Nothobranchius furzeri: one gene and its partners. The main gene of each other region encodes a partner of the protein of the gene in region 3 in a complex. Links are inferred from orthologs where the notes say so. Each region holds a gene or a part of one and is shown on either strand. Other genes may lie near its edges.

The links.
Region 1: ints6 (region 3) and ints12 share a complex: the UniProt entries of both Homo sapiens proteins name them as parts of the integrator complex. The link is inferred for Nothobranchius furzeri from reciprocal best matches to the Homo sapiens genes INTS6 and INTS12.
Region 2: ints6 (region 3) and ints9 share a complex: the UniProt entries of both Homo sapiens proteins name them as parts of the integrator complex. The link is inferred for Nothobranchius furzeri from reciprocal best matches to the Homo sapiens genes INTS6 and INTS9.

What each region holds. Positions count from the first base shown.
Region 1 is NC_091746.1:80,675,448-80,679,112, reverse strand, and holds the start of ints12 (integrator complex subunit 12), read right to left. Parts: upstream 2,889-3,665; 5' UTR 2,762-2,888; intron 2,507-2,761; 5' UTR 2,499-2,506; coding exon 2,343-2,498; intron 1,318-2,342; coding exon 1,168-1,317; intron 956-1,167; coding exon 774-955; intron 662-773; coding exon 502-661; intron 423-501; coding exon 273-422; intron 1-272. Other genes in the region: gstcd (glutathione S-transferase C-terminal domain-containing protein), read left to right, coding at 3,263-3,665. UniProt on the Homo sapiens protein: Component of the integrator complex, a multiprotein complex that terminates RNA polymerase II (Pol II) transcription in the promoter-proximal region of genes.
Region 2 is NC_091742.1:17,907,470-17,910,710, reverse strand, and holds the end of ints9 (integrator complex subunit 9), read right to left. Parts: intron 2,892-3,241; coding exon 2,724-2,891; intron 2,034-2,723; coding exon 1,935-2,033; intron 1,035-1,934; coding exon 897-1,034; intron 803-896; coding exon 626-802; 3' UTR 523-625; downstream 1-522. UniProt on the Homo sapiens protein: Component of the integrator complex, a multiprotein complex that terminates RNA polymerase II (Pol II) transcription in the promoter-proximal region of genes.
Region 3 is NC_091754.1:31,095,629-31,099,382, reverse strand, and holds the start of ints6 (integrator complex subunit 6), read right to left. Parts: upstream 2,238-3,754; 5' UTR 2,011-2,237; coding exon 1,900-2,010; intron 1,762-1,899; coding exon 1,684-1,761; intron 1,196-1,683; coding exon 1,046-1,195; intron 1-1,045. UniProt on the Homo sapiens protein: Component of the integrator complex, a multiprotein complex that terminates RNA polymerase II (Pol II) transcription in the promoter-proximal region of genes.

The DNA of each region.
Region 1 (3,665 bases), on a different chromosome or scaffold from region 3:
CGGTACTTTGGGTTAGTATTTTAATTTCTATTTTATTAACTTAAAACAAATGTATTCTAATTGGTAAATGATCCCTAAAAGGTCTTAAACTAATAAGATTGAATATATTTGACACTAAAACTGCCATATTGTCTGAATCCAAACGCAGAAACAAATCTTCTAAACAATTAAGGAAAGAAAAGGAACTGTTCCTGTTGCTTTTCTTACCTCTAAACCCCTTACTGGTTAGTAGAAACAAGACTGAGGATGTCATTTTTAATTAAAATACTCACACACACCTTCACCTCTGTCCTCTTGAAGGCCTGGAAGGTGCTGGTTGTATCGGTTTTAGCCTTCAGCTCTGTCTTTTTCACCAGCGGGTCTTTAACAACCGGTGCTGAAGATGCAGATGCAGGGGATGGTTTCTGAGGAGGCTTCTGAGCCTGGTCAACAAACAAACAAACAAACAAGTTAGTTCATCATTAAAAAGGTGATGCAGGATCGTGACTTGATTTTCCTCACCATCCGTTTCATTTGCCTGGTGCAACGGGCACAATACCACACAAGCCGTGGGTCATTCACTTCCTTATCAGTCACTTGAGGTTTGTGGCAGTCCTGGTGGTAGAGATTATGACACTCTTGGCACTCCACCAACTGGTTTCCCATGGTCACCGTCATTTGTCTGAGAGAATTAATTATTTAAAAAAAAAAGACTGAATTTCTGCTTAAAATGGTGATCTGATTAATTTGAGGGAATAACATGCTGACAAATCTACACGATTGGCTACTCGTACCTGCAAACCACGCAGGCCAGACCCATTTCCATGGCAAAGTCGTCAGCGTTTGTCTCGTCGTAGTCGTTTATGTTTGGTAGGAGGTCTTTGCTCGTCTGAAATGTGATTGGAGAGGAGCGGTTCTCTTGTTTCTCTAAACGAGGCTTTTTGGGGGGGTCCACTTCGCTCACGTCAACCCTGGCCTGTTTTTCAGCAAAATACAAAAGGAAGTTTGACTAAATCACACAAACAAAAAACACCTGATCACATATTTAAATCGGATTCTGCTTTAAAGCTTTAGAGTTATATAATATGCACTTTTCATTCATTTGTGCACTTTTACTTCCCAATTGAACAGCAACACGACACAGATTACTGGGATCATTAGTAAAAATTGGAAAAATGTCTTCCACACCTTCTCTGATGACCTCTTCTCGCCTTCTTTCTTGCCTTTCTCTGAGCTGGATTTACTACTTCCACCGCTGCTGCCAGAAGAAGAACTTGAAGACTTGGGCTCTTTACTTAAACTCAGCTTTGACACGGATGCCTTTGACACTTCCACCTCCTGAGGACAAAACAATCACACAGAAGGCACAAGCACTTGGTTTTAAAACAATGTCATACGAATGACATTAAAGAGCAAGTCAGCCCCCCCCCCCCCCCCCCCCCCCCCAAATTTCTTTCTTGCTGATAAACTATATAAATGAGTGTCTAATCATGCTGTAGACACTTGTAGTCAATAACTTGGCACTTTGGTGCATCTTAGATAAATTTAAATAATCTGCCTAAAACTGTCAGTGTTACGTCGTCTTCAGGTAAAAACTCTGCCATTGCTATTGTCTAAGAAGTACATTATGATGTCACAAAGTCATTGTGAGCCTGTGTGTGTATTTGTTAGTGGCTCCACCCCCTCGGTCTGCCAGGTAACAGCATTTGTTGCATTTTTCAAACAGGAAGTGGGAGTGGAGTAAGACTCTGGTAGGGGGTGACTTGCTCTTTAAGGGGATTTCTCTACACTCACCTAAAGGATTATTAAGAACACCACACTAATACGGTGTTTGACCCCCTTTCGCCTTCAGAACTGTCTTAATTGTACGTGGCATTGATTCAACAAGGTGCTGAAAGCATTCTTTAGAAATCTTGGCCCATATTGGTAGGATAGCATCTTGCAGTTGATGGAAGATTTGTGGGATGCACATCCAGGGCACGGAGCTCCCGTTCCACAGATGCTCTATCGGGTTGAGATCTGGTGACTGTGGGGGCCGTTGTAGTACAGTGAACTCATTGTCATGTTCAAGAAACCAGTTTGAAATGACTGGAGCTTTATGACACGGTGCATTATCCTGCTGGAATTAGCCACCAGAGGATGGGTACAAGGTGGTCATGAAGGGATGGACATGGTCAGAAACAATGCTCAGGTAGCCCGTGGCATTTGGGGTTCAGGAGATTGCCTTGACCAGGACCACACCCCAAAATGCACTGAAGCAACCGCCATGTGATTGATTGATTAGATAATTGCATTAAGGAGAAGTTGAACAGGTGTTCCTAATAATCCTTTAGGTGAGTGTATATGAGAATGAATTATCTTACTTTTTGTGAAGAGCGATAAGAGGAATCGCTGCCTCTAGCAAGGGACTCATCAAGTAGAGCTTTGAGCTTCTCAGCTGAATCTTTGCTCTTGGAATGTAGATAACTCAGTCCTTTTAGGAAGATGGGATCCAGCTCCAAACTGACAGGTCCAGCCATCGCTTCCACTAGAAATCAAACAATAACAATTCACGTAATGCTGTGAATTAGTATCATTTCATCAAAGTAAAAAGAACTGCCGGCGCCTATAAGCCGAGTCCCACCGATCCAACTGCTGTGAATGACTTTAAACATTGGCAAATATTTGGTTTCTGAGTAAAAACAGGAAGACGGACTACAACCACAGAAGCACCGCGGTAGTTACCGAGGTCGCTTTATAATTCTAAAATTGAAGCTCATAATTATCATAAACACAGGCTTACCCGAGACTGGGTGTATTTTCTGTTTTACCGGAATATTTTCTTTCTATTGAACAACGGAAAACTGAGCAACACTTCCGTCGGCGTTTCGTCTTCACATTTGAGTAACCGACAAATATGTCCGGAGTCTGCAAGGGCGGAACGTTTTGCGAAATTTGTATTCGCGTTCGCGTGGTTATTATACTATTTTGGTTATAATAAAATAAGTATTCATCCCACGTATGTTTTCCTTTGCGGTACATATTTTGTACATAGGTGTTACTCTTTCATGAAGAGAGTTTTGAAACGTTTGAGAAGACCGCTGGCGGCGCTGTGGAGCTATGCTAGTGAAAAAACAGCAGAAGAAGAATCACCAAAACACACCGGTCCGCCTGTTTCAGGTAAGTCATTTTTCTTGGGTCATATGTTGAATTTAAGTAATCTAGACGTAAAAGTACCAACAGAGAACACTAAAACAATGATAAAACTAACTGATTGTTTTACTGTCCTTCTAGTTTATTTACAATGAAGCACAACGAGAAAAAAGAGCAACATCTCTCCCTCTTCTTAGAGGTTTGTTCCCAGAACGAGGAGCTGCGTCTCCCCCTGCACACGTCCATAGTTATGTTTCTCCTATCATACTGCGAGTGCAAGTCCTTCAAAGTGTTCATGGTTTACACCAGTAGCTGCTCGGACGCTTTCAGGAGCCAGCTCCCAGTGCCTGTTGGTGTCAGCTGGGTCCAGCTGGAGGATCTGCCCCAGCTGGTGAGGAGCTGCCGTCTCCCGGCAGCGGTGGATGAGAGCGGGCGCCTGTGCAGGGCAGGACTAGCCGTGGTGCTCAGGCACATTATCATCAAAACCACTGAGGAAGACCCTTCCAGGAAGGATGTTCTGGAGCTGCTGGGTTTCAAAAAAACCTGCTTGAAGG
Region 2 (3,241 bases), on a different chromosome or scaffold from region 3:
GCAGGGAAAAGGCTAAAACTGGTTACCAGGGCTAGCATAATACTAGATTTGAACATGAAATGATAACCAAGCTGACTTCTACAGACGCTGCTCATTTAAATCAGCAGATGTGGAGCCTATACACCGCTCGCTCATTTCTCTACTGGGATCTGAAACCAAAACCATCACTAGGGTTCTCGGTGACAGACCACAGCATAACCACTGGTTCCTACCGAGGTCTGCAGAACAGCCTCTCTGAGGCACAACATGTGGAACCTCAAACTTGTCTGAGCGTAGCAGAACGCCCACCTAGTCCACTCCGAGACCACATCTGAAGAGCTAGCAGAGTGTCTGTCAGCTAAAACCTGAGATCTACCACGTTAAGAGTCCTGATCTGGTTCAGGAGGAGGGCGTCAGAGAAGAAACGGCTGATGGTCTCTCTTTATGGAGCTTCTCCGTGTGTGTGTGTGTGTGTGTGTGTGGTGTTTTTCTGCTCAACTTTCACTTCTGCAACTCAAAACTTCAGTCTTCTCACAGCAGACACCCCCTTAATGTTGTTTTTAATAGAAAATAAGAAGTTTTATAAAACTAAAACACAAGTGAGCTTCACTCTGCAGGTGTGACCTGCTCACAGTCTGAAACTAAATCAGAGTTTCTGCAGGAAGCGAAGCACCAGGTCCCGCAGCGTGGTGCGCAGCGGCTCGTTGTTGTCACAGACGATGTGCGTACCGTCGTCCTCCAGCTGGATCAGCGTGTCCTCAGCCTGCAGGTGCAGAATGTGTCCATCTGGTGTCTCCTCCACTTTAACCTCCGTGATCCCGTGCTGAAGAGAAAGGTAATCAGAATTAAACTCCCACCAAGTCTGTGCTCAAAGACTTCAGGCAGATAGAAGTCCTGCATTCTCTCTGAATTCAGACCTTCTGTAATGTGACCAGGAAACTTTCCAGGGGCACAGCTCCACTCAGGAGGGGTTTGGGGGCCAAACCCACAGGAGGCTCCTCCACTACCCTCTTCCTCTTCTTGCTGGGGGCCACGGGTGGCGGTTTGGGCACCGACTGGAAACGCACAAGTGGAAATAGTCAGCTGACCTGTGGGGGGGTTTAATGACCTATTATTGCTGCTTTGACCTTCCTGAACCCGAGCCACCGCCGATCACAGCATGAGCCACAGGAAGTGTGTTTCTCAGCAGCAACACTTAGGCGTGGAGTTCCTCAGGGTTCCAGCCTCGTTGTGAATCTGTTCTAAAGAAAAGCGTCTGGATTTCTGAGGCACCAGAACCAGTTTGTGAACAAACGGGCTGCGAGTTCATTTGTTTATTTCCACCTGATGAAGGTGGACTTGAGGTCACAAATCAAATGGACCAAGACTAACGAACCACCAACCTCTTCACAGGTAAGATTACCCTGTAAACAATTACCAAGAGTTTCACATCAATAAAAATAACATTTTTACTGTAGACTAGATTTCAAAGTTCAGAGGGAAGCCATTAAATCAATAAAGTGGATCACAGAAGGACAACTTTCATCTGACACAAGCTAACAGCTAGTTCAACTATGGGAGGAAACACACATGTAGCCACCAGGATTTGAACCTGCAACCTTCTTACTATGAGGCAACAGTGCTACCCACTGCTTCACCAGTTACATGAACCAAGAAGAGCTTTCTGAGATTGGAGTTAGAAGCACACTGGTTTATGGGTAAAAGCCTCATTTATCCGTCTGCCCGTCCAACCCGGAGACTTCAGAGAAAACTAACATTTCCAACTGTCAAGCTAGAGCCTCAAATCAATGTCAGCTCAACGAACGAGAACTGTAAAAACAAAAGTTGTCCACTAGATGGGGCTGTGGCAGCCTAGTTGCTGCACAGCCCCAGCCGTAGAGGTCCTGGCTTCTTCGTGGCCGTTTGACCTTTACGTCCTTCTACTGCAGATATAAACCTGACATTAAAAGACTCACCTGCAGAGTGTGCTTATTGTCCTTTGAGTGCAGCACTGCGGAGACGGTTGCCACGGAGACACCAGGTTTTACCTCATTGGGCGTCAGTGAGTTGGCGAGCTACAAAAAGAAGAATCACCGTCAGCTGAATATTCAACTTTCATATTTAACTGGAAGCTTTTACTTACTGGAGGTTGGTTTTCCTACTTATAACCAGGAATAGTTCTGCTTCTTACTCCGCTGGTTAACACGTTCTCACAAGATCTCACCTGCAATCCGTCATCCGTGCTTCCACAACCTCTAGGTTAGATCATGCTAATTCCATCCTCCTAGGTACTAGTAAATCCTCCCTTGACTGTCTTCAGACAGTACCGAATGCTGTGGCGCACTTCTTAAACACGAACAGACGTAGACGCATCACGCCAACTCTGGCTCCGTTCTCTTCAGGGTTCAGTAGATAGTTCTAACGTTTGTCTACGAAGCCCCTCCTCATCTATCTGAGCTGCTCATCCCCTACGTGCCCACTACATCTCAGAGGTCCGCTAACCACCAGCTCTTATGCGTTCCTGACATGCACTGTGAAATCAGAGCGGAGCGGGCTTCCACCTGACGTGAGGCAGGCCTCTTCGTTCATGATCCCGGTGTAAAGCTGCCCTGGAACCACACGATTTGATTGTTGTAATCGATTTGTTGTGTTCGTTTTCTGATTTGTACTTTATTGTTTTTATGCATTCTGTTTTCGTTGTTCACCCGTGCAGCACGTTGGTCAGCTGCCATGCTGTGACTGGATAATAGGCAGCTGCCAGTTACCTCAGGGAGGATGTAAACGCGCTCGTAGCGGCGTCTGAAGGGCAGGTTGAGTACGGAGCAGCGCCTGTAGGGCATGGGAGGGGGCGTCAGCTCCAGCATCAGGTCAGAGCGATGGGACTGGCTGAGGGGGGGCTGGGTGTACTGCTCCGGACACACCACATGGAGGGGCTGCAGGACAAATGCACACATGAATAAACTCAGACTGGTTTATTAGGCACATGAATGCGAGCTGTTTAATGAGCCACACTTGTGAAGCGCCTTTCAGGGTCAGAGGACTCCAAAGAGCTGTACACTACAGTGCACCATTCATCCATTCACACACTGATGGTGATGAGCTACAGTGTAGCCACAGCTGCCCTGGGGCACACTAACAAGAAGCGAGGCAGCAATACGCCGGCATCCTCTGACCACCACCGGCAGGCAGGGAGAGTTAAGTGTCTTGCCCAAGGACACAACAGCAGAGTTCTCTGCTGGGAACCAGGATCAATCCTACAACCCTCTGACTACTGGTCCAGTAA
Region 3 (3,754 bases):
AAACTGTAGATTTTCCTAAATATAAAAACTAGAACAAGCTCTCATCTGTGTTAAAGCATTTAACACTCATTATGAAACTTGTTTTCTGCTATTTTAAATTGGATTCAGTCTAATAATTCTCCAAATTGATAGCAGTTCAGCATCCATGTGCCAGAAGATATTAACTTTTAGAACAACATGGAGTCTAAGTTTTCCGGTCGGCTCATGGGTTCCCGGAAGAACAAAACAAAAAAAGAACGCAAGTCCACGGGACTTAAAGAGCTATTTTCTAATCCGCTTTGCTTTACGCCCTGGATCGCACATATGTTGTATTTCAATGAAAAGTATTGATGTGTTTGGATCACGCCTGTCACGTGTTTTGAGATTTATCGTAAATACTAGGACTACAGATCAGACGTCAGTACACCGCATATCGTATATGATGTCATCACAGAATATCCTCTCCCCTAGCGTAGCTGCTACTTCTCACATGGCCAGATTTATAGTAGTTCTTTCCTCCTGAAAGAAGGATTTGACATTCGCAGAACGTACAGCCATTTTTTCTGTTCATGTCTGGTTCGATGTCAATTCGTAATGCGTACTTGTAGTCCTGAACGTTTCACACAAGACCTAAAATAACTTTCGCCCTCGTTTGAAAATAAGAGCTTTCTTGGCATCAAAATGTTAAATTTCACGGATGTCTTGTGAAAACCATACGGGATCAGAAAATAGCATTTTTAGCCTCATTGACTTGTACTCATTTTCTCGTTCTTCCGGGGCCCCGTGGTCCTGAAGTAGATGGGCTTATGCTAGATTTTGTTTCAGAAATATAATCTGGTGCATATGAGATTAGCCTCTTTGCAACCTGCATCTAAGTTTTATGACTAAAAAGACATTTTAAAATTATAGCATGAAACACTGGACTTATAATCGGTCCCTGCTTCTTTGGTAGTTATGTTTGTGTGTGACTGCAGGGGTGTGTTTGGGTAGTAGATGCTTGTAGGACTGGGGCAGGGGAGTGGGGTTGTTGTGGGTGCGTTTAGTACATTTCCAGGGGACTACATACCTGTCCATAGTTGTCTATGCCAGTCACTAATCTATTGAGATTGAGTAAATCAAAAGATGTCCTCAGGGACTGTCCAACAGTGGTGAGTCCAGTAGCTTGGAGGTTCCTCAGCTCTGTCATGAATGTGGCGTGGCTCTCCTTCCACCCAGCCTTTATGGACAAAACAAAGCACGTGATTCATAAAAGCTACTGTTCTGGTCACTAAACTACTTTAAATAACTTATTTCCAGCTTTAATGTGGAAGTATGATGATATTTAGCTGGGATGAAGATCAGCGCCGCAGCCTGGATCCTCTCTGCTGCTGGTGTGACACCAGCTCGGATCACACATGACGATGTGGCACGGTCGCAGCGTGTTCGGGACAAAAGCGGCAATTTTCTCTCTGCTAAAGTAGTCTAGTTGTCCGTCACCCCTCCTCCTCCACCTCCCTCCCTCTCTCATATCACCTCTCTGTATAAATAACACCCAGAGTTCCTTGCTGCTCGCACTGAAATAAAATGTCGGCCATGTTTTAAAAGGGGTATGAAAGCTCCTCCTGGAGATTTTCTCTACAACAATTGATCACAAGGCGGCGGGGAGATGGAGGACAGTCAATCTGCGCAATGTAAAGCTGGACATGACCCGAAAGCAGATTCTACCTTGATCCCGAACGGAGCATCTTCAAAATTTACCAGCATGTACCGGTCCCCTCGGCTCGCCGGATCTCTCCCTCTGAGCTGTGGAAAATAGAGAATGATTTACGGTTACTGGGAGATCTCGGCTTGACAAGGCGAACTTGCAACAGCACAACGATAATCCGAACTAGAATCCCGTTTGGGATCTCCCAACATGAATGTGTCCCGTGGTCACAGTACCTTCATAAAAGTCTCAACAGCGCCTTTTGCTATGTCCAGATAGGTAGTGCCCAGATGGGTGCGCTGGTTCATTGAAGCGGACGTGTCTATCAGAAAAAGTAAAACGGGCATTGTGATGGTAATGACACGTTCTGCATGGACTTGGTGTCAGTACAACCGGCCAAAACGCAAAAAAAATCTTTTGTTCTCCTGCCGCCTGTCTCACCCCTCAGCTAGCTAGCTAGCTGGCTAACTGTCTCACACATTCTTTCAAAAAAGTGTAAGAATAGTGAGTATAGAAGCCCATTCCGGGAAAACTAAGCTAAAAGCCTCGAAACCTTGGGGCAGGTTAATGATTTACGATGGATTTTGATAATTTTTACAATATATTGTAAATATTCCTAAGTTTCATAGTAACAAAGTTCCCCCTCATAGTGACTCCCTGCTTCTCCCTACACTGAATGCGTTGTGTCTTCTCCGTTGCTTTTAAATGAAGCCCCGCACCTGACCCCGCCTCCTAAGCGCTCTTTTTCTGTCACGTGCAATCAACCCAGCTTTTGATTGGTTGAAGGAAGCCACTTATTAACATATCCAAATAAGGCCAAAGCTAGTTCTCTAGTGCGCATGCTTGCTTAACCAAATGACAGGAATGCAGGGAAAAATATTATTCACATACATTTTGTGTTTAGTAACGCGACACATGTGGTAGGAAAAGCCTTTTTGGAACACCCCAGCTGTTTTTCTTTAGCACCAGTTATCAACAGCCTTGTGTTTTGCCCTGCGGAGTGATTGCATAATCAACATTTTCCTCATATATGCACGGGCGTGGGCCAGTGTGAATGGAAACCCATAAAGACAAAATAAAAAGTACAGGCTGAGATGGATGTTGTAAGATTATAACTTAAGGAAGGTAGCCATTTGTTTAGAGAAAAGGAAAACAACACACTGAAATCATGACACTGTGTGATGATCATATAAAAGATTTTAACTAACAAAACGACCAGAAGGGTTATTTTTACAGTTTTTGAACTAACATATAAAAATCAAGACACCAAATAAGTCATTGTGCGTGTACTTTTGAGCTGTTTAAGTTGATTATATGTATAAACAATTATCTGTAGACTACTAGATATATTAGTGTCACCATCCTGTTTATGGTTCACTTTTCATGCCACATGACACTGAGTGAGATAGTGCAGCTCGATCAAAAACATCAACACTTCCGCAAAAACAAGACGAAACCAACCAGTGGCTGTGATCGCAGAGGGAAGGATGGTCTATCTTATTTTTGTCGTCCTATCGCACTGCACATAGTTCATCCGGTTTGTTACTGACACGTTTTTCAAAATAAAAGTAATCCTGTGGTAGGACATCAAAAATTCTTTCTTCAGTCTGCATGGTAGCGATTTTGGTAGCACTGCTGCCTCACAGCATGAAGGTAGGTTCAAATCCTGGCGGTGGCCTTTCAGGTAATACTATTTCCTTCTGTAGGCCTAAAATATGCATGTTAGTTGATTAGCATTTGAAAATGTATTCCTGGGTGTGTTGGACTGGTGGTTTACCTGTGTGTTCTTGTGATGGATGTAGAAAAAGATGGACTGAGACCAGAGTTTCCCCCACAGCTAATGACTGCTGGAGATAGACAACACCAACCTGCAACTAAGGAGGAAGTGGTTTGGAAATGGAAAAAGTGAGGGTAATATTGCTTAGATTTCCAGATTTTGCAATAACATTGTGAAAAATATACAAGCGTTTGCAAAATGTTATCACACGCACGCACAAATTACTGATCCTTTTTTGCGAAATTCTCAACCGAACATGACCGGAAGTACTTGTTGCTTGTTACTTGTTTCATTGTTTTTACGTGACTGCAGAC